2 linked regions of the Coturnix japonica genome follow. The protein of the gene in region 1 binds, or shares a complex with, the protein of each later gene. Links are inferred from orthologs where the notes say so. Each region holds a gene or a part of one and is shown in the gene's direction. Other genes may lie near its edges.

Evidence for each region.
Region 2: TCTE1 (region 1) and EFCAB2 share a complex: the UniProt entries of both Homo sapiens proteins name them as parts of the nexin-dynein regulatory complex. The link is inferred for Coturnix japonica from reciprocal best matches to the Homo sapiens genes DRC5 and DRC8.

Annotation. Positions count from the first base shown.
Region 1 is NC_029518.1:27,138,672-27,148,601, forward strand, and holds the start of TCTE1 (dynein regulatory complex subunit 5), read left to right. Parts: upstream 1-4,426; 5' UTR 4,427-9,930. Other genes in the region: AARS2 (alanine--tRNA ligase, mitochondrial), read left to right, coding at 691-799, 1,573-1,698, 2,094-2,204, 3,006-3,089, 3,198-3,308, 3,682-3,846. UniProt on the Homo sapiens protein: Component of the nexin-dynein regulatory complex (N-DRC) a key regulator of ciliary/flagellar motility which maintains the alignment and integrity of the distal axoneme and regulates microtubule sliding in motile axonemes.
Region 2 is NC_029518.1:31,173,810-31,183,668, reverse strand, and holds the start of EFCAB2 (dynein regulatory complex protein 8), read left to right. Parts: upstream 1-4,334; 5' UTR 4,335-4,661; coding exon 4,662-4,686; intron 4,687-4,885; exon of another isoform or gene 4,886-4,907; intron 4,908-9,859. UniProt on the Homo sapiens protein: Component of the nexin-dynein regulatory complex (N-DRC), a key regulator of ciliary/flagellar motility which maintains the alignment and integrity of the distal axoneme and regulates microtubule sliding in motile axonemes.

The DNA of each region.
Region 1 (9,930 bases):
CTTGCACTAGAGTAGAAGAAGAGCTAATCAATCTTAGTATAATGCTGACATGGAAAAAAATGGAAACAAATTGGCATTTGAGTAGATAGAGCTGGAAATGAGCAAGTTTCTAGTCATGTGGGAGGAGCAGGACAAGAAACTGCATGGGAGTGGAGATGATTGATTCTAATTAAGCTGCCTGAAATAATTGCTTGTGGTAGCAGTGACTGAGACACTGTAGTATTCTTATCCATTTTTGTATAGCCAGAAAAGAAAGGGAAGGTGATCAGTTCCCTATGTCTGCCCAGCAGCAGTTTGACTGCAGACCAGTGGCCTGTGTGTGAGCTGATCTGACAAGGGAGTGGAAGAGCTGGAGATGAAAAAATGGCTTTCTACAAGGTTCAGCAACAGCTGAATAGAAGGAAAAGATCCCAATCCATCCTACTGCTTGAGGAAAGAAGAACTTTGCTACTATATATATTTGTCAGTAGCCTGCTGGGAATGTAGCGCAAAGGTTCTTCTGGAGTAGCCTCAGCTCTGCTGTCTCTTGCCTGACCAGGTGCCATCAGGAGTTTAGGAATGAAAAGGTTTGAAGCTATTGGGACTGAGTAGAGGCTGCTCTCCTGGAGATGTGGCTAAAATGAAAGCAGTCCTCTTGATTTCTGTTCCCTGAGAGCAGCTTGTTTCTTCCCTGTTGTGTTAACTTTGCAGACACCTTCTACAGACAGGAGCGATGGAGGATCTAGCCATTGTCAATGAACGTCAGCTTGTGAAAGGGATTAGTCGTGTCATTGCAGTGACGGGGAGACAAGCCAAACAGGTAAGAAAGGAAAAACCGAGATTTCAGCCAAATCCAACTTTGTAGGCTCCTGTTTAGGCAATTAACTTTCTTGTGCTTGTGCTGGAGCTTCACTACTATGTCTGATCTCACTTCCTCTTTTACCCTGGGACACAGTTCTGCTGCTTTCCCTCACTGTTCACATCCACTCCCCAGCTGCCCTAAGACGTCTGTCTCCTTGACCTTCATTCTTTCCCTCAGACCCCCTTTTCCAAGATAGAAATTTGGCACAGAGTGTCAGGAAACTTCTGGGCTAGAAATTTCAATCACTGGGCAGGTATTTGAAGGTGTGATCCTTTGAGCTTTGGTTTTACCTCCTACCTATCACAGCTGGACACGTGTTTTATGACTACAGGGTTCTGCCCTCATTCTTACAGACTTTTTTCTTCTCCCTATAGTCTCTTTCTTGCCAAACTGTAGTTCTGATCTGATTGGGTCTGTATAAAAAAAAGTAAGCAACCTATTATTGTTCCTGTGAGGTCATTGTTGTCCTTGATGAGGACTTTTTGCTGAAGAAACATAGCTACGTGACAGCTTTGTCCTGCAGGTGTGACCATCTAGTATTGGCTTCAGATCTAGAGAGGAACTCTCTATTCCAGAGTCTCTTGGGGACAGTCATTCTTAAAGCTTGACTGTAGGTGTCTTCCCACTGGATACTTAGCAGCACTTCAGTGCCACCTCCCTCTTTTCTCCATCCCTGATTGATTTTTTTTCTGTTGCTGCATCTGAAACATTTTCTCTCTCCCTTTCTCTAGGCCCGAGAAGTAGGTCAGTGTTTGGCTATGGAAGTGGACTCTGTCTCAATACGGATGAAGCAGAGGGGGAGCGCCTCTGTTCTTGAGATGCAGAACCTCTCCAAAGAAGTGGGACAGTTAACCAAAGTAAGGATTACATTCCATCCAGAAAGACCCCAGCATTGGCAGGCTCTTGAGGCAACATGACTTCCTTAGGATGTTCACATACTACCATAGTCAGTAGAAAGGAGTTGCTACTTGCAGGTGCCTCTTTGTTCATAAAGATTTCAGCTAGTATCTTGGTGCCTTTCCTCCCAGAGGAGGCAGCAGTGGGGAGAGTTAAACAGTAAAAAGGGGTTTCCAGGCTTTCCCCAAGGTTTTAGATGCCTAGCTGAAAAATTGCTGCAGTGAGTGACTGGCATGATCAGGTATGTGCATAGGAAGGTCTGGAAAGAGAACAGGCTCCACTCTGAGCTTCCAGAGAGCAAGCATTTTATTTCTAGGTACAATTCAGTATCTTTATAAAGAAGACTGTCTTGCAGGTGGTGGCTAGCACTGCAATGCCCCAGTGGCAACGAAAAGAACTACAGAGCATCCTCAAATTGCTGCAGCGAACCGCCAACACGGCCATCAAGAAACTGGAGGTGCAGCAGGTAGTGTGACGGCAGCGCACTCACTGTAGCTTGCTAATAGCACTGCATAGTGTCCACCACTGAACCTCATGTTGTTGTCACAGTTCACTGCAATTCAGTGTCTGGAGTCTCATCAAAAGGCAGGGGGAAGTGGATGCAGTCACACAGCGCAGTGTAAGCCTTGTGTTGAGTTGATTTCACTGACAGGACTGCTGTTTATAATGTGCAGTGACTTGACTGCATTTCTGTATGTGCAAAATCCTGGTGTCTGTCTACCAGTGAGGACAGGGCTTCTAACAAATACCAACAGGTAGATAGATATGCATTGCCTACTTGCTAATGGATGGAGAAGATGACATTGCCCTGTAAATGGTCTTGACAAGATCATGTGGTAGAGTGGCAGAAGAGCCTTTCTCCCATGCATATGGATGTTGCTGATTTCCTTCTGAATCTGTTATTAATTTACATGATTATATTAAAAAACCTTATGAAATTCATATTGCAGACTTAATGTTCTCAGTATGATCTATCCTTTACTTAAAATAGCAGTATCCTGCCATGGAAACCTACCTTGATACATGTGGCAGTGCAGAGGCCAGGGAGAGAGTCTGAGAACTGAACGTGTCACTGTCCCTTCTGAAATCTGCTTGCTTTTGAGGCAGGAGGATTGTACAGGTCTCCAGACATATGCTAACATAAATCTCCCCTGTCGTACAGAACAGCACTTGCATTCCCTGTATACGTGTGTTGCAACTTATATACCCCTCCCGGTCACCCTGTGCCACCTGTAGCCCTTCAAGTGCTGTGTGTTTCTTCCTCCAGGCTGAAGAGAAGGCACAAAGCCTGCTAGCAAAACACTGCAACCAACCTGTCATTATTGATACTGTCCCAGCAGACTCCCTGTCTGTAAGTAAAGCACATTATTTGTTGGCCCAGCAATACTTAAGATGCTGGATGCAGCCAATGGTAGCTACGCAGCAGTCTCCTGACTCTGCCTTTTCCTTCCTCTCTTAGATCCTAATGAAGGTAGTGAACCAGCTTTGTGACAAGTCACCTGGCACATCAGTCCTGCTGCTCAGCCCTCAGGATTCTGGGGAGGTGCTCTGTGCCTGTCAGGTGTCCAAGGTAAGCAGAACCCTGGCAGAATCCCAGGGAAGCCTTCCTGCAGAGGAGGACTGGGTACACTACTCACTAGGTCCCAGCTGAATTTTTTCTTGGGTTTCTACCCAGTGTCACTGATGAGTTATGTTGAGGAATGACCCAAGATGACTGTACTGGGGCCAGATAATCTTTCAGTTTTTGCTGGGCACCAATATCCCTGGGTCATCCAAGACATGTTTGCCCAGTGGTAGGATGTAGAGCTAACACGTAAGCTCAGTCTCCTCTCAGTCATGTCTTCCCCAGGTAGCGAGGGTCCAGGCTGGGTGAGGGGAGAAAGATGTTCCTTCTTCCATGCTGCAGAGTGCTCCACAGACCAAAGTGTGTGTCTCTTCCCCAGAATTGCCTCCCCATGTTCTCCGCTGCTGACTGGGCCGTGGCTGTCTGTACACAGATGGAAGGCAAGGCAGGAGGTTCTCCTGTTGTCGCTAAGGGCAGTGGAAATGCCAAGGGCATGCAGGGAGCCCTGACTACTGCACTGGAATTTGCTCAGAGTAAACTCTGAAATGTGTGTGATGCTTTGGTGGCAGGACAGCTGTAAGCTGTGTGGATACTTGATGCAGAGTGCACGTTATACTGTGCAGAAGGTTTGACAATTCTCACAGTGAGCCCTGCTGCAACCACTGCATTGGAGCACTTGGTGTCTGGCCATCAGGGCTGAGCAGTGTCTGTTCCTGAAAGCACTGACAGAGCAACGCTGTATGTTCTCATCATGGGTATATGGTGATTGAGCCTCAGAAGGCACCAGCTTCTGGAACAGTGCAGTTCTTGCCACAAGACCAGCACTGGGAGGTTCTGAGAACATGACTGTCGTATCCCAAAGTTATTAAAGGATGGAGAGTGTTTGATCCCTCTAATGTTATGTTGGTGTTTTGTTTTTCTTCATATCCGCACCTTTTTCCCTGTAAGCCCAGAAAGCTTATATATGCTGTAAAAATAAATATATGCTGTAGTCTAAGCAGTCCCATCTTGCTAAAGGATACACCAGTCCCTGATAAAAATGCTACAGTAACTTAGAAATGGGAAGAGAAGTTCTTGCCTGTGTGCACAACCTTTTGCCTAGCCTATGCAATGGTTAGTATTGTAGTCAGGCCTTTTTGTTAAAGCACAAAGGGAACAGAATCATCCTGACCTCCACCTCTTTGCTCTGAGTGCACATTCTTACACATTTCTTACTTCTGCTCCTTTTTAAATCCTTTCCTCTCAGGTTGCTTCCTCAGACTTCCATTGTTAGAATGACGCCTGGAGTTCTTGGCCAGAAAACCTTTGTGTTACAAACTGGCCTAAATAGAGAGGTCATGGGTGGTAGCTGATAGGGAGGTGCAACTGGGTAGTGATACAGAAAGGCTTCACCCTGTGAGCAAGAACAGCAACCTGGCACAGATGAATTTCAGCAGCAGATAGGGCTGCCTGGTGTGGTGGAATTAGGAGGCAATAGCTACATGCTTTAGGGGGTGGGAAGAACAGTGATGTTAGTGGGTGAGGAGCAGAAAGAGGGTAGTTATGTTAGGATGTTTGATGCTATGGAGGAAGGGTACCCCCACAGTGGTGAGGCTGATGAGCTAGGAAGTGAATTTTTAGCAGATTTGGTAGACTGATACAATAAGCTTCTGGTAGCTGAGAGCAGACTGTTAGGTGGCCGAGGTAGGCAGGGTTCTAACAGTGCTGCATGGCTGGAACAGAACTGAGCTTCACGTGCATGACCCAGCAATAACCCTTTGGTCAGAGGGATACAGCAGTGCACTTGCACACAGCTGCTACTCTCAGCTTAGGTTTGTAGGGCAAGCTCAGCAGGCTGATATATTTGCCTGTTGCTCAGTTGTCACATAAATAAGGCAAAGTAAAGAAGATATAGTGGGAAATGACTGCTGTGAGCACGGCCTCCTCTCCTCAATGAACAACAGTTGACCCAGGGGAGAAAGGTGGTGGATTTAATTGTGTTTAGAGGATGAGGGATTTCCTTCCTCATCTCAGCAGCTGTCCAGTCCCAATTCTAAGACTTAGTGTCACTCCTACACGTCTTTTCTTAGTACCTGTGGCTGTGTAAAGAGCAGGAGCTCGCACTTGGTTAAGTGCCTGATATTGATATGAGGTTGGTGGTGCTCCATACTATCTTGCGTTTCACCATAGTGCTGACAGCCCCTACATCTGCAGCAAGAGGATAGACCTTCTCCTCCATTAATCATTACTTCCATCCAGGGAGTTTAAGGTAGAGCTTTTAGTAAAGGAGACAGCGAGCCGAGGTTCCTGGACATCAGGATGACTGGGACAGTTCACGCCATCGGTTAAAAATACTGTTAATGCCTGTTGTGGAACAGCTGCTGTGTTTCATCCCAGCCACAGCAGTACCAGGTATGGGGAAGGGAAAGGATGCTCTGTGTTACTGGGAAAATGCTTTTCTTGATTGCTTCCTCATTCATAAAAGCTGCTGCTAGAGATGATGCCTCCTCTTGGTACTGGAGAGTAGGTGTGTGAGGAGGAGGAGAGGCTGAGCTGCTTCTGCATCATGCTCCAAAAGCAGAGCCTGAGCTTGCCAATAGCAACCTTATGGATTTAACCTCCCTTTGTGCTTTTTTTGTTGTTTAATTTCAACTTTAAAACTACTGGCACCTTGTAAATTGTTGCCTCACCCCTTGATGTGCAGGGATCCGTGTGCTGACCTTCAAGGTAATGTCTCTGCAGGCAGAGAAAGTGCAAGTCAAGCCCCCACCAGTGTTCACCTGGCCAGCCAATGGCTGCTGCAGCAGTGACTTCCAGAGCAGTGGTGGTGTCCTCAGGGGCTTTTTGAAGGACTCCTCTCCACTGCAGGATCTGATGGGCTCTCAGCACTGGGGAAGGAGCCTGCTGAGATGAGTGGGCAGCAGTGACACAGCTTCATGGCTTCCTAGCTCTGCTATCCCCCTCCTGTATTCTATGGGAAGAGTGGCTCCCCAGATACAAGGTGGCAGAGCCAATCCCACCATGAGAAATAAACCCTGGGTGTCCTGAGCAGAGGCACTAAGGAAAAGTTTCCTCTTTCTGAGCCTGCAGGGATTTAGATGGGTCATCAACAAGGTTGCAGCACAACCAAGTTGTGATCTTGCTGTAACTCTGTAGCACAAAACCTGCTATGTAACCGAAAGAGAGAAAGCATCTCATCCTACCAAAGAGCAGCTGTGTGGAGGCACCGGTTTGGTAGCATGGGCTGCTGCAGTAGAAATGCTGGTTTCTGAGATGTGGCTGTGCTGGACCATCACTGATCCTAAAAGAATAAATTCCATGCTATTCTCCTAAATCCCAGTGTACAGGACTACATCCTCTTCCTGCCATTTTTATTCCACAAGACAACACGCATCCAATGCTACGGACATAGCCACCATCTTTCTGTATTTTAGCAGTAGGTAGAGCAGTGCTCAGCTAGGAGAGCTGGAGGGGATGAAACATGAGTTTTAAATATAGATCTCTCGCCAAAATAGCAGCTTGCATTCCCTTACTAGAGATCTAAGGTGCAAGCAGTTCTCTGTGCACGCGTTGCAACTCCAAACAGCACGGGCTGCATGCACACACACACACACAGGACAGTGAAAAGCAGGAACTAGTTAATAAGTGATGAGTTTTTTTTTGCTGTGAACAGGTGCTGTCAAGTAGGCAACTGCTCTGTAAGTCCAGATGGACCCCCAAGGTCCTTGAAGGGCGCATGTGAGTGCCGGCCCGAATTCCAGGCAGCTACCTGACTTTGTGTGAAGGACCAACCACACACATTAGGCCTTGCCTAGCTGGAAGAGCTGCACAGATGGGATGAGAGCTGGGGCTCTGCAGGCTACATAACCCTCTAGCCTAGCAGCCATGGGTCCCTGTCCTGCTCTCTGATAGAGCAGCAGACCCAGCACAGGGCTGGGGTTGCAGGGTAGGGAGCCCTAGATGGATTGGGAGTATCTCCAAAGAGAGCCTGCTAGGGAGGGCATCAGGAGTACCTGAAAGGCAGCCTGCAGGGAGAGATAGGACAAGTCACTCAGGGTTTGCTGAGGAGAGGAGCTGGCAGCAGAACAGTGAGCACAGGCTGGGTTTCTCCAGCTGCATGTGTAATCCCACGAGGGCCATCCCCAGCATGTGTCAGGGACATCCCCAGGACTCCTGGCATTGCTGCAGGCCTGTGTTTTGAACAGTTCATCGAGCCAACAGGAAGAGCCAAGTTGGATGTGACCCACGACTGTCCAGCTACCTCGGGGCCAGCAGAAGCTGAGGACCACTGTCACACTCAATAGCAAGATGGGTCACTACTTATAAACCACCACAGTGACATCCCTTCCTAACAGCAGCTGAGGAGGAAGGAAAAAATAGTGGAAACAAAGGGAGGAAAGCCTGTGGGGAGCATCATGCTGCCTGCCATGAACAGCCCCTGGCCCAAAGCACCTCTCCAACCCTGGCCCTGGTGGCCAAGTCCCAGGTTCATGGCAGGGCACGAGCCAGAGCAGCACAGGTGTTTCATGGGGGGATCCCTGAGCTCACCTGTGCTGCCTGCCCTTCACAGCTGGCCAGCTCGCTTTGTGAGGATGACCGTGCTTTGCAGTCAGCTCTGGTGATTCAATTACAGCCGGTGTTTCTGCACCACTTGCTGAGAGCAGCAATTGATGGGCTGCAATCCGAGCTCCTCTGGAAAGCATTGGGAAAACCCAGAAGGTAAGCACAGCTACAATTGGGCTGCTGCTGCCCACCACATGTAATGTCTCCCCTGAGATTGCAGAGGGGCCGCAGGGAGGCCTGTCCTGTTGTGTTGGGGCAGGCTGAGTGCAGCTCTGCACTGCACCCTGTGCCCTCATAGCTCTTGCAGTCCCTCCTGCAGGAGTGCTCCAGAGTAAGCTGTGAAGTCCCATCACTTGCAGGCATTCAGGGCTCCTGTGGGGGCTGTCATTCTCGAGGCCCTGCTTCCATTTCAGCCCCAAGTCCCCCCCCCATGCTCTCAGCTGACCACGACATTCCTGAGGCTGCACAGACATGGGGTTGCTATTGTAGTCCTTAACACAGGTCCTGGTATCTCCATCTCCCTCTGATCTTCACCCAGCCTTCCCTCACACACTGCCCCATTCCTTTACACCAGAGGTTGCGTGGGTTACAGCTCCAGGAACAGGAAGATAAATCAGAAGCTACGTAGACCTTCTTTTCACATGGTGAGGAATTATTTACACTCGGGTTGGGATTTGCTGCTCTACTAATTTTGTTGTCTCCTCACTTGTCCCACATTGCAGCCGCCGTTCCCTGCCCGCTCCCTTCCCTCACTGCCCCCACTTTCACGCTGCTTCCCCCAGCCCACTTTGGCCCAAGGAAGGTGAGTCCTCACCTCAAATATCACTGAGTTTAACAGAGAAAGAGGAAAGGAGATGCAAAACCACCTGACCTTTAAAACAGCCACGTTCTCACATTTCCTCCCCGCCTCAAAGCAGCTCTTTGCTCTGCTGTAACCTTCTCTTCCCCGTCCCAGCATTTATTTATAAGTGCAATCAATAATTAAGGAGCTGCCTGCCTTCCTCAGCTGCAGTGTTGACAGAGGCACTGCTGATGCTTCCTGGCTCATCCTGGCTGCTCTGCTCACTCAGGCTTTTAATTCTCTCTACTGCCCAGCTGGAAACACAGCGGCAGCCCACCCAGAGATGGCAACAGCAAGACCAGCCCTGCCACGCTGAGCACTCCCTGTCTGCAAAGAGAATCCAGGCGGATTTCCCTGCAGAGAGGACAAGAGGGCACGAAGAGGGGGCTGGGACTCTGCCACCCATCACTGTAGGGAGGGCGATGGCAGCTGGCAGCTCCTCAGCCCTTGGCACCAGGCCATGCAGCCCCGGCAGGGATGAGGTGCAAAGGGGGGAAGAGGGCACCGAAGGACAGCATCAGCTCAGCAGCTCTCAGCAGTGAGCTCCCAGGCTGTCCTACCCCATCAGCATCCTCCTGCCGCAGCGACCGCGCTGACATTGTCCTCATTGTGTTGGGCTTTGTTTTCCCACAAGGAAAGTGGGCACTGCCCTCAGCTGGAGCAGCCCCTGGGTCTCTGAGCTGCTGTCTAGCAGCCATGTGAGGGAAAGGTGCTGTGCTGCTTTGCTTGAACTTCCCAGGTGCTCACAGTGTAAAACCACCTGGGCTGGCAGACTTGATTCCCCCCCCCTGCTCCATGTCCCTGCACAGCACCTAACCCTGTTGCAAATATTTCACATTGATCAAAGCACAGCACAACAGGGAGAGGCTGGAATTAGGGCAAGAGAGGGAATGATATGCATCCACAAGCTGAAATGCACATCATGGACTCCCAAAGCAACTCAAGTGACCATGCAAAGTGAAGGAAGTATCTCCATGGGGCTCTGGAAAACAGCCTCCCACCAGCTCTCATCCCCAGCAAGGGAAGGGAAAAGCTTCACACCTGCTCTGAATGCTGTAAAGGCTGCAAGAAACACAGCCAAGAATAGAAGGTTCACCAGATCCTGTCCCTCCTCCGCATGGAAATCCCACCAGCAGCCACAGGGCTGTGGCACCATCCCATCACACAGGAACAGGAAGGAAGGCTGGCAAAAGTGTTCAGTGATCCCAGTGACCTTCCTTACAGCCCAACCTGCTGCAGTGAGCC
Region 2 (9,859 bases), about 4.0 Mb from region 1:
TGGCTAACTTGAATAATCTTTCTCAGCCTCCTATGAATGGCTCACAGCCATCCTGAGCTACGGGTAGGAATATATTCCCATATATTCATATATTCTTTTTTTTTTTTTTTTTTTTTAATTCCTAGTAAAGTTAATTTATTGATTTAATAGTATTTTATCTAAGGATTTTTTTATCCTATTTATTTATTTATTTTGTAGGGCACTGAAACGTGAAGGAGTCTGTCAAAAGAAACAAAGACCTGGAAAATATCAGTGTTTGTCTTCATCTGGGGCTGCCAATGCCCTCACTTTTATCTCCCACAGTTACTGACAAAATCTTGTTGCTTTGAAAGTCATATCTCCCAGCTGCTGGCTGGCACCTTCACGGCTCCAGGGGAATGCAGGTGTCTTGCAAGGTCTTCAGTAGAGGAAGATGGTTTTCTTCACCAGGATAAGACTCTTGAACTTGTCTCAGTGTTCAGTGGCAAGCCACTGATGAACATGGAGCGTGGGGAGAAGTACTCATGGCAACCTGGGTTGCTAGGCAGATGGATTATTGTGTTTTGTTCCTGCCACAGTGTTCTCAGAGATCCTGGCTTCATTTCTAGATAGAATCAATGGTAATAAAGTCTGAAGGTTAAAATATATGAATCTCTAGGGCCAGTTCTGCTCTTGGGTGAGATGGGGAACAGCAACCTTGCACTTGCATATAAAAGTGAGTTTTTTCCTGCTGCAGCTCCTCGGGCATAGTCCCGGGGGCTAAGCACTGTCAGTAGTTCCTTGCCATTGAGGAGTATTGCTGAAAAATGCATGTTCAGCCACTTTTCCCCAAATGCAACTTTCCAAAAACTGGACAGGAGCATCTAATGATCCACAGGATCACAGCTATATGTAAACAGCAAGTGGTACTTGCCAGGACAGTTGATGATGCCATCCATTGGAATGAAAATGATTTCAGATGCTGCCACTGCAAGCATATTTTGAACCTATATTTCCCTTCCTTCCAAGTTTTACTTACAGACTTAGCAAAAAATGGAGTTTACCACCTCTAAAACAACAATTTACCCTTGCTGCCTTTGTCTCTATTTCTCTCTCACTTCTAATTGCGTGATTCAACTTCCTGCTTGTGCCAGTCCAGATGCTTGACACACCCTATGCCAAATTTCTTAACATGGCAGAAGCCTATTCAATTTTTGATGGATTGTTCTTCTGCTACTTCAGTGACTCATATCTACTCTCAAGGAATGGCACAGCCAGCATGAGGTAGGAGGTTGCGTAGCCAGCAGTAAAGATAGAAGAACAAAAACTGAAGAAAGAGCTGGATCCTCCCCCTTTTCAGCATCAATGAACTCTCCATGTCCCATGGAATTGTATCTTCTGATCAGATTTTTGGCAAACCTTTGGGCAAAGAAGACAGAAGAGAAACTGCAAGGAACAAGGTTTGAGTGAGTAGATGTGTTTAGATAATACTTTGGTTTGAAGAAGCTGTTTCCAAATCACTCAAATCAGCAGTTGATCCCAGAGAAAGAGAAGAATGGCAAAGCCAAATGCAGCTGTGTCATTCATACTGCATGGGTGAAAAATGGTTCCGCAATGTGGAAACAACTTCTCATTGGTAGGGCGGTACACTTAGGGCCACAAAGGAGTTAAAAGCAGACTCCTGTCACAGAATCATAGCTATTAATTACTTTATCTGTGAAGGGCAAACAAACACACTTATTTACGTCTTCATTTTCATGGTCCAATGGATCCACAGAGAGAGTTCCACAGTGAAGGTCTTCAGCAAGTGGTCAGAGCAAAGATGTGCCCAAACACTACAGTCCTGAAATCATGGGGGCAGTGAACTGTGGGGCATTACCATCACTCCTTCCATTTCTCTATGTTCTGTGTCACTTCTCCTATTTTAGAGATGTTTTTATGCTGAGCACAATTTCTAAATGTACTCATGGAAGATATACAAAACGTGGGATAAGTCTGCGATAACTGAGAGGAATATGCGTAATTAAAAGAGTTACAGAGGCAAAGGTACCTTACCTCTATTGGACGTCAGTGGATTCAGTCTTCAAATCAATGCTTGTTCTGTACATATTTTTCCCTGAGATATTTTTTGACATTTTTAAAAATGAAAAATTACAAGCCTAAAAGGGTATGTTCTCTTCAGAGGAGCTCTTTAAGGATCTTGCATGCAGCAGCTGATATTTCAAGCTGTTGAATTAGTAGTTCTGGGTTCCCTTTTGTACTTGCCTGTGCCAAAATGCGATTAGTTGTTTCAGCCCACTCATACCCTTGGTTTGAGATGTCTGTGCATTAAGTTAGAAAGGAAACAGTCATGTGGTTCAGGTCCAATATTTGATCTGCATTATAATTGTTAACATTTCTTTCCTACATGTTGCCAGGAGATTTTAAAGCGTTGAGTTCTCATTTTGAAGTGCTTTCTCATTCTGTATTTTATTCTCTGGAGACAGACAAGACACCAAAGCCCTGTATGTCAGGAACTGGGGGAAGAAAGGGAAACAGGTGCTGACATTTGGCTTCAAACTATTCAAAGCAAAAGGAAACTCCAGCCTGGAGCAGGAGATGCAGACTTACAGTCATTGTCCTGACTGGAATCTCAGTAACATGGGCAAGAGATTGTGAAATAGTCCTTGCTGAAATTAATAACAGCTGTAAATGACAAAAGATTTTGTACCTAGGCTAAGGGTGCCAAACATACAGAAAAAATATCCAGGATTTGACCAGTACTATTATATACTTGGAATAATGCTCTCCCAAAGGAGCGATTGTGGCAGCTAATGAGGGTCTGAGTCAGCTGCTACAGTAGGTCTAAGTGTGGCAAACACAACATGTAGTATCTGTTGCAGACTTCAGTATTTCCCCTTTCTTTCTGGATTTTACACGTTATTGTTTAACTACCATAACTCTTGGAGGAAACTGGGATAAGTGTGTGTCAGATATAGTGTGTGAGGAAAGCCAAGCCCAAATACTGCTGAGATTGATGGGAAGATGATAAAATAAAGTGGCCTGAGTGAAATGACTCTTACTATTTCATGTTCACAATGGCTCAGATCTACACAAAAACTGCTGTAGAAATACAAGAGTCTCAAATTTCCACAGCAAGCAAAATGTATTTCAAAGATGAATGTTGTCCATATTTTGGGCATGGGCTGGGCATGAAAATCTGAATGAGTGGAAAATCAGTTTTTAAAGCATTCATTAGGGGAATCTTGTGAAGACTTTGAACTAACATTCATTTTTTATAAATACATCAGCATTTGTAGAATTGCTCTGCATGTCCTGTGATGAATCAGGTGATCTGGAAAATGACACAGGGAATCTAATCCTTGGGCACAACACTGAAGAACATAAAATTTCACGCTGAGACGATGAGAGAAGTAATAAGCAAGCTCTGTGTTTGTCAAACAATGTATTTTGTTCTTCAGTTTCAAATACATCTACCACAACAGATCAACAACCAGCAAAGACGAAGGTTTTGTGTTTGGAGACATTGAAGGAACAAGAAAGGGGATTGCATCACAGTGAAAGATAATGGCCTTTCCTTCTGTTACTGTTACATTCTCTAGATTAGGCTTTTGCACTGTTATCACTCAAACTTCAGTTATCTGCTTGAGAGGAAACAAATCCACATTACCCATGTAGTCAAAACACATACTTGGAAGTACTCAGTTACTTTAATAAACTGTTCAAGTCTATAGGTAACCATTTGGAGGGATCAACTTTGTTAGAGAGCATAATCAGCTGTTTTCCCAAGAGACTAACACTGTACGCTCTGTTGGGTATATATTATACCCTATATTATACCCTCTTTACTCTGAGCTACGCACAATATAAACAGTATAAACAAATAGCGCCTACTGCGGGGAAGACAGTGCTTTGGTTCTAGGAATTTCCTTAAAACATTAGTTCCTATGAGTATATGGTTGCATCTTGTTGGTATGCTCATATTTGCATTTTCTCCACTTCCACAATCATTTGTTCAGAAGAACTGCGCATTGCAAGTACATCTGCTAAAATACACGGCTATATTTAAACTGCGTTTTATTTAATATCGCTGAGAATATTTTAGCTGTTTCAAGAGTGACGATATTTAGAATAAAATGTTCTTTCACTTTCTGAAGCTCAGATGCAGAAATCTCTGCAATTGCTGGGAAGACTTTTTTTTTTTCTGTGAACCAGCAGATTGCTGGGGCTCGTCCAAGTCTCCCTGCCAGGACAGTGGTGCTTGTGCCTGCCGATGCCACCCGTGCCAGGTGTGTCTTCAGCGGTGGGTTCTGTCACTTTGCCATGACAGGGAGTGACACCCCAAGCATTACTGGTCCCAGCTGGGAGGGAGGGTGGTGGGTTACAGCTGCAGCCTCCATGCCTGGGATCCGTGTTTGGGTGCGATGGATGTTTTGGAGCATTAGCACCCAGGACTATGGCTGTCACTCACTGCTCTTGAAACCACGCAGTGCAGTAGTTAGTGCACTCAAAAAATCACTGCACTGCTTCACTCAGCTTTTATATGCTTTTTATTTCAGCGGGCCCGGTGACTGCTTCCCAGGGCGGAGGGCTGCCAGCTCAGGCCTGGCGCTGGGGGCCAGGGGAGGCCGCGGTGGAAGGAGGGGAGCGCCCGCCGGGCCGCTGCGCCCCGCGTCGCCACGGCGACGGCTCGGGGCTCGGCCATGGCGCAGGCGGTGAGCAGTGACGGTAAGGCCGGGCACGGGGCCTGCACAGCGGCCTGCGGGACGGAGCGCGCCTGGGAGTGGGAAGCGAGGGGCCCAGCCTTGGGTGACGGCGTGGGGCGGGGCCAGCCCTCCGCCAAGGAAAAGCGATCCCGGCTGACTCTCGGGGCTCCGGGGCTTATTTTTAGAGGGAGGCGTGTTCTGCTTCAGGAAGCGCTGCCAGAAAGTGTGATTGAAAGGCGAGAGGTAACTCCTCCCGCAAGGGTGTCCCAGCGTCGTTTCCAGAAGGTTGTGCACTCTGAGCAGCTCGTAACAGTGTCGCTTCTGAGTGCCGTCCTTTGTGTAAATAAACACGAGAACGTGGTAATAAGTCACAGATTGAGAACACTGTAACTAATAAGTTATTTCGTATTAATGAGTAAAAGCACAATTTTCTGTGAAAAACCCACAACAAAAAGTTGTGGGTAATGCTGAATGAGGAGTTTTTCTGATTGCTTGATCAATAGCTTCTAATGCATTTTTTTAGTTCGAATGTAATTTTAAAGAAGTTGAAGCGCCGTCTTGCTGAAGACACACCCTTTTGTTGATTGTTTTTTAATTACTAGAGGTAGTTTATCATCCTGTAAAGAGCTGTTCCCAGGAGACCACCACAAGTTATCTGCTAGAGGGAAACTGTGCTGTCAAGAATTCCATTCCTGGCCCTTCCTGACAGATCACAGGAAGGTGGCAAGCTGGGCTTTGATTTCCTGCCTGTAGGGAGAAGACAATGACTTGTATCTCATGGATAGTGTGAAGACAAGGCATCTAGCTTCCCTTTGGACACTCATGAGAATCCTACACTTTTATTGAGCAGATGATTTCCTTAATGCCTCATAGAGGTGTCTCATCACCAAGGCAAACTAATATTCAGTGTCTCACCGAAGTGCAGAAGCATCCCATAAGAGGAGATGGCTTATCTCCATGTCAGTTGCTCTTAGACCTCCTGCAGGTAGCAGTTAGGGGGCTGATTAGAATCCTCAAATCCTGGATTCATGCAGCAATTGTGCTTCTGACAAGCATTTTACATAAACACAAACTGCAGCTTTTACTTTGTTGTGTCTCAAAGAGAAGAACAGCATTAGTTTTATTGTCGAATAATTAGTCTTTAGGGTATTCCCCTTGGTTCTTGGTAGAACTGTAGTTCCACCTGCTTTTGTGGTAAACGTTTCCCTTAGGTCCTATTATTTTCAAGTTTGTCTTCATCAAAGTTAAAATGCTTACCTTAATGTTTAACAGATATACTGGATGTACACAAGAAAAAACAGTGTAAGGCCAAGTCTTGCAGCCTCTTTTGCATGACATTGATAATGTGTTACCCTCTAGCTTACATAATTGCGAATAAAATCTTGCATGTGTGTGAGTGCTAATATCATGCCCATGATATATGGAGCTGTATGTTTTATGCATGAATTTGTATTCCTGCATTTGTGCTTTCAACGTTATTTAATTATTTTTTTTTCTTTATTCCCATCTGATTACATTACACTGCTTCATCTTTCTCTTTTGTGTATTTGTCTGTATCTTTCTTCCCATCGTTCTGTTTCTTTCCCCTTTTTTGCTACTTAATTCCATCTGTCTGTTCTTCCATTTGTTCTCAGGTACTTTCTTTATAATTTCACAGAACGTGTCAGATTTTCTAAGTTTCCATCTCTCTGATCTCAGTGCCGATGTTACTAGAACCTGAAAGTAAAATGTCAGACCAGTAGTGCCTGAAGTAAAACTAGATGGAAGACAAGACGTATTTTTCTCCAGCTGGGATTTAAGAAATTACATGGAAGTACATAAAAGAGAATGTTCAGTGTGGCTTTATCATTATGGTAATACTGTGTATGTGATCAGTATGAGAGTTTTATACACACTGTATTCTTTGTGCTAGTTAGCACATACTTAAAATACAATTAATAAGTCATGAATTTGAATCCAAAAGGAAGTAGATGAAATATTCTGAGCTCCTGTTGCACACCTTTATACCCATACAGAACTGGACGACTGATTCTGGGTAACAAAGGTCTTCCAGAAACATAACTGATTGTGATGTGAAGACTTAAGGAGATGGTTTATAGCCATTCTCTGATGAGGATTTTCTCTGGTAAATAGTAGTGATTCTGGGGAATTTAACTTACTGCTGCAGTATGTCATTAGTCCTCACAGATCCTTTTCCCAACTTGTGAAAAACTCACAATAAGGTTGTTAGTGGAGATGGGAAAGAGTTTTTACCTCTGCTCTAGAGCCTTATGAACTCTGCTGAACTCTTTCCAAGAGATCCCCGTCTTTTTTGTACTGGGGAGCCCAATACAGACACAGTACTTCAGATGTGGCCTCACCAGGGCAGAGGGGGAGGATCACCTCCCTTGACCTGTTGGCCATGCTCTTTTTAATGTACCTTTTTGGCCACTGTCGTCTACCAGGACACCCAGGTCCCTCTCAGCAGAGCTCCTCTCCAGCAGGTCATCCCCCAACCTGTTCTGGTGAATGCAATTATTTCTCCCTAGGTGCAAGACTCTACACTTGCTTTTGTTAAACCTCATCCGGTTTCTTACTGCCCAGCTCTCCAGCCTGTCCAGGTTTCGGTGAATTCTGCCCCTGTACTCAGCATTGGTGAGGCCTCACCTCGAGTACTGTGTTCAGTTTTGGGCACCTCAGTACAAAAAATACATGGAGGTACTAGAGCAGGTCCAGATAAGGGCAACGAGGCTTGTGGAGCACTTGGAAAATCAGCCCTATGAGGAGAGGCTGAGGGAGCTGGGGCTGTTCAGTCTGGGGAAAAGGAGGCTGAGGGGAGACCTTATTGCTCTCTTCCAGTATCTGAAAGGTTCCTACAGTGAGAGAGGGGCAAGTCTCTTCTTACTGGTGACAAGTGACAGGATGAGGGGAAATGGCCTCAAGTTGTGCCAAGGTAAGTTTAGGTTGGACATTAGGAAACACTTCTTTTTTTTTTTTTTTTTTTTCTTAAGGGTGGTTCAACACTGGAATAGGCTCCCTAGGGAGGTGGTTGAGTCACCATCTCTGGGTGTGTTTAAGAGCCGTTTGGATGTGGTGCTCAGAGGTTTAAGATTGTTAGGGTAGTATGGTTAGGCTGCGGTTGGACTTGATGATCTTTGAGGTCTTTTCCAGCCTGTGTAATTCTATGATTCTATGATTCTCTGGCAGCTCCCTCAGCACCCATGGATGCACCCCATCAGGTCCCATGGATTTATGAACATTGGTGTTGCCTAGGCGCTCTTCCTTGACTAAAGCAAAATCTTCCATTCCCCAGATCCTCTCACCCTTTCCTGATTTCTTGTTCACAGCTCCAAGTAGGGTCCCAGAAGAGATCAAAGTTGGCTCTCCTAAAGCCCAAAGTAGCAATCCTACTTTTTGCTTTGCTTCTTCCACTCAGGATCTTGAACTCCACCATCTCATGATCACTACAACCCAAGCTGCCCCCCACCTTAACTTCCTTAACAAGTTAAGGTTCCTTGTTAGTGAGAATAAGGTCCAGTAACTCCCCTCCCCTTGTAGGTTTCTCTACCACCTGCATCAGAAAGTTGTTATTTGTAACCAATAGTTGCACTCACAGCTCACTTAACTAACAGGACAGTTTCAAACCTGACTCAGCAAAGTGCTTCATCTGTGTACAGCGTTGGGGAATCCCATTGAAGGTGACAATACGATGCACATGATGTTAAGTACATGAGTCCATTTAAGTGTCCTGCTGTACTGAGGATTGTAAATTGCTTTTTCTTTTTTTCTTTGTGGTTTTCAGGGGTTAAGCGTCAGCATACAAAAGTACAAAAAGCTCCAGATTAAACACTTGCAATGAACCTTCAGGCTAAAGTAGTTCAGTGGGTGAATTATCTCTAATTGTAAGAGGCAGTGTTTCTTTTGAAGAACAAATAGAACATTGGCATACATTGTTAAAATAAGTAGCTTTCATAGGGCTCAAGCAAGGAATATTTCAGGTGTAGAAGAAAACCCAAATATATGAGATCCCTTAAAAAATCAGTGTATAGTCTTACCACTTGAGGATTTAGAGATGAATACTACTTCCTTTTGTTGGCATCGCTGTGAGAAATTGTTTGAGGAGGAAAGTTGATATCTTTTATTAGGTCGTAATACAGTTTAACATGCGCCTTGACATCAGTTTGAGTTATGTTTTAATATTTGTACTTCAGACTGAAACAAAGAATAAATTGTGCCCATCTTTTATAGATCAGCACAGGCTGCAGATGTCTCATCCTCTTGGCTGTAGTCCTGCACTAGAAGTTATCTCAAATGCATGTAGAACAGGTACTTGCAGATTGGCAGATTTCTTGTTTCCATGGCACATAAAATAGCAGAAGTTCTTCAGTCTGGCTGTACATCTAACTGAATTACTGAGTACAAAATGAGCTGGTTTGCAGAAAGGCTTTAAACTTTTTTTGTCTCTCAAACAATGCCAACCAGCAGATACACAGCACTGATAGCTGGAGAACTCCCACAAAGTCTCTCTCTAGCAGTAGTTAACTTGTTATTAAGAATTTCCATATCTGCATGCTAATTTTTCTGAGATCTGAGGGTTTATTTATTTATTTATTTGCAAGCCACCTTAATTTGTGTGAGCAGGTACTGCTTTGTTGCTATTGGCAGTGGGGTTTGGCAGGGTGAAGGTGAGGGGCAGTAACTGTGGCTACCGTGTGAGTATGCAGGGACCTGGTGCAATGTGAAAGGCAGGGGCTTCCCAAACCCAAACACGGCCAGCAAGGGTTTTGAGGTTGCACTGTGTGTTGGTCCCATGGGATGTTTTTATAAGTGGCCTGTAAGGTTGAATAATATGAAGATGGTAGCAAAGATAATTCAAAAGGTTATTTGTAAAGGAAAACTCACCGATGGCTGCTGCATACAGCCATTGCTTTCAAAAACTTATCAGATTTGAAGCTTTTTGAAGAAGTTCCATCTTGGGCATCATTTCTTGGGCAGCTTGGGGGAGTGTGTAAGGCTGTGAGTGCTGGAATTGTCCCCTGTGGCTGTGTAGAGTTCAGAAGGAATGGAAGCTCTGCCTTCAGAGAGCACACATTACAACAGCACAGGCTGCTTTCTGGCCCTGTGGCAGCCTATGTTAGCTCTTACTTTTCAGCAGCAGCTGAAGGTATAGCACAACTCCCAGTGTTGCCAGGAGAGCTATATATCCTTGCAGGGCA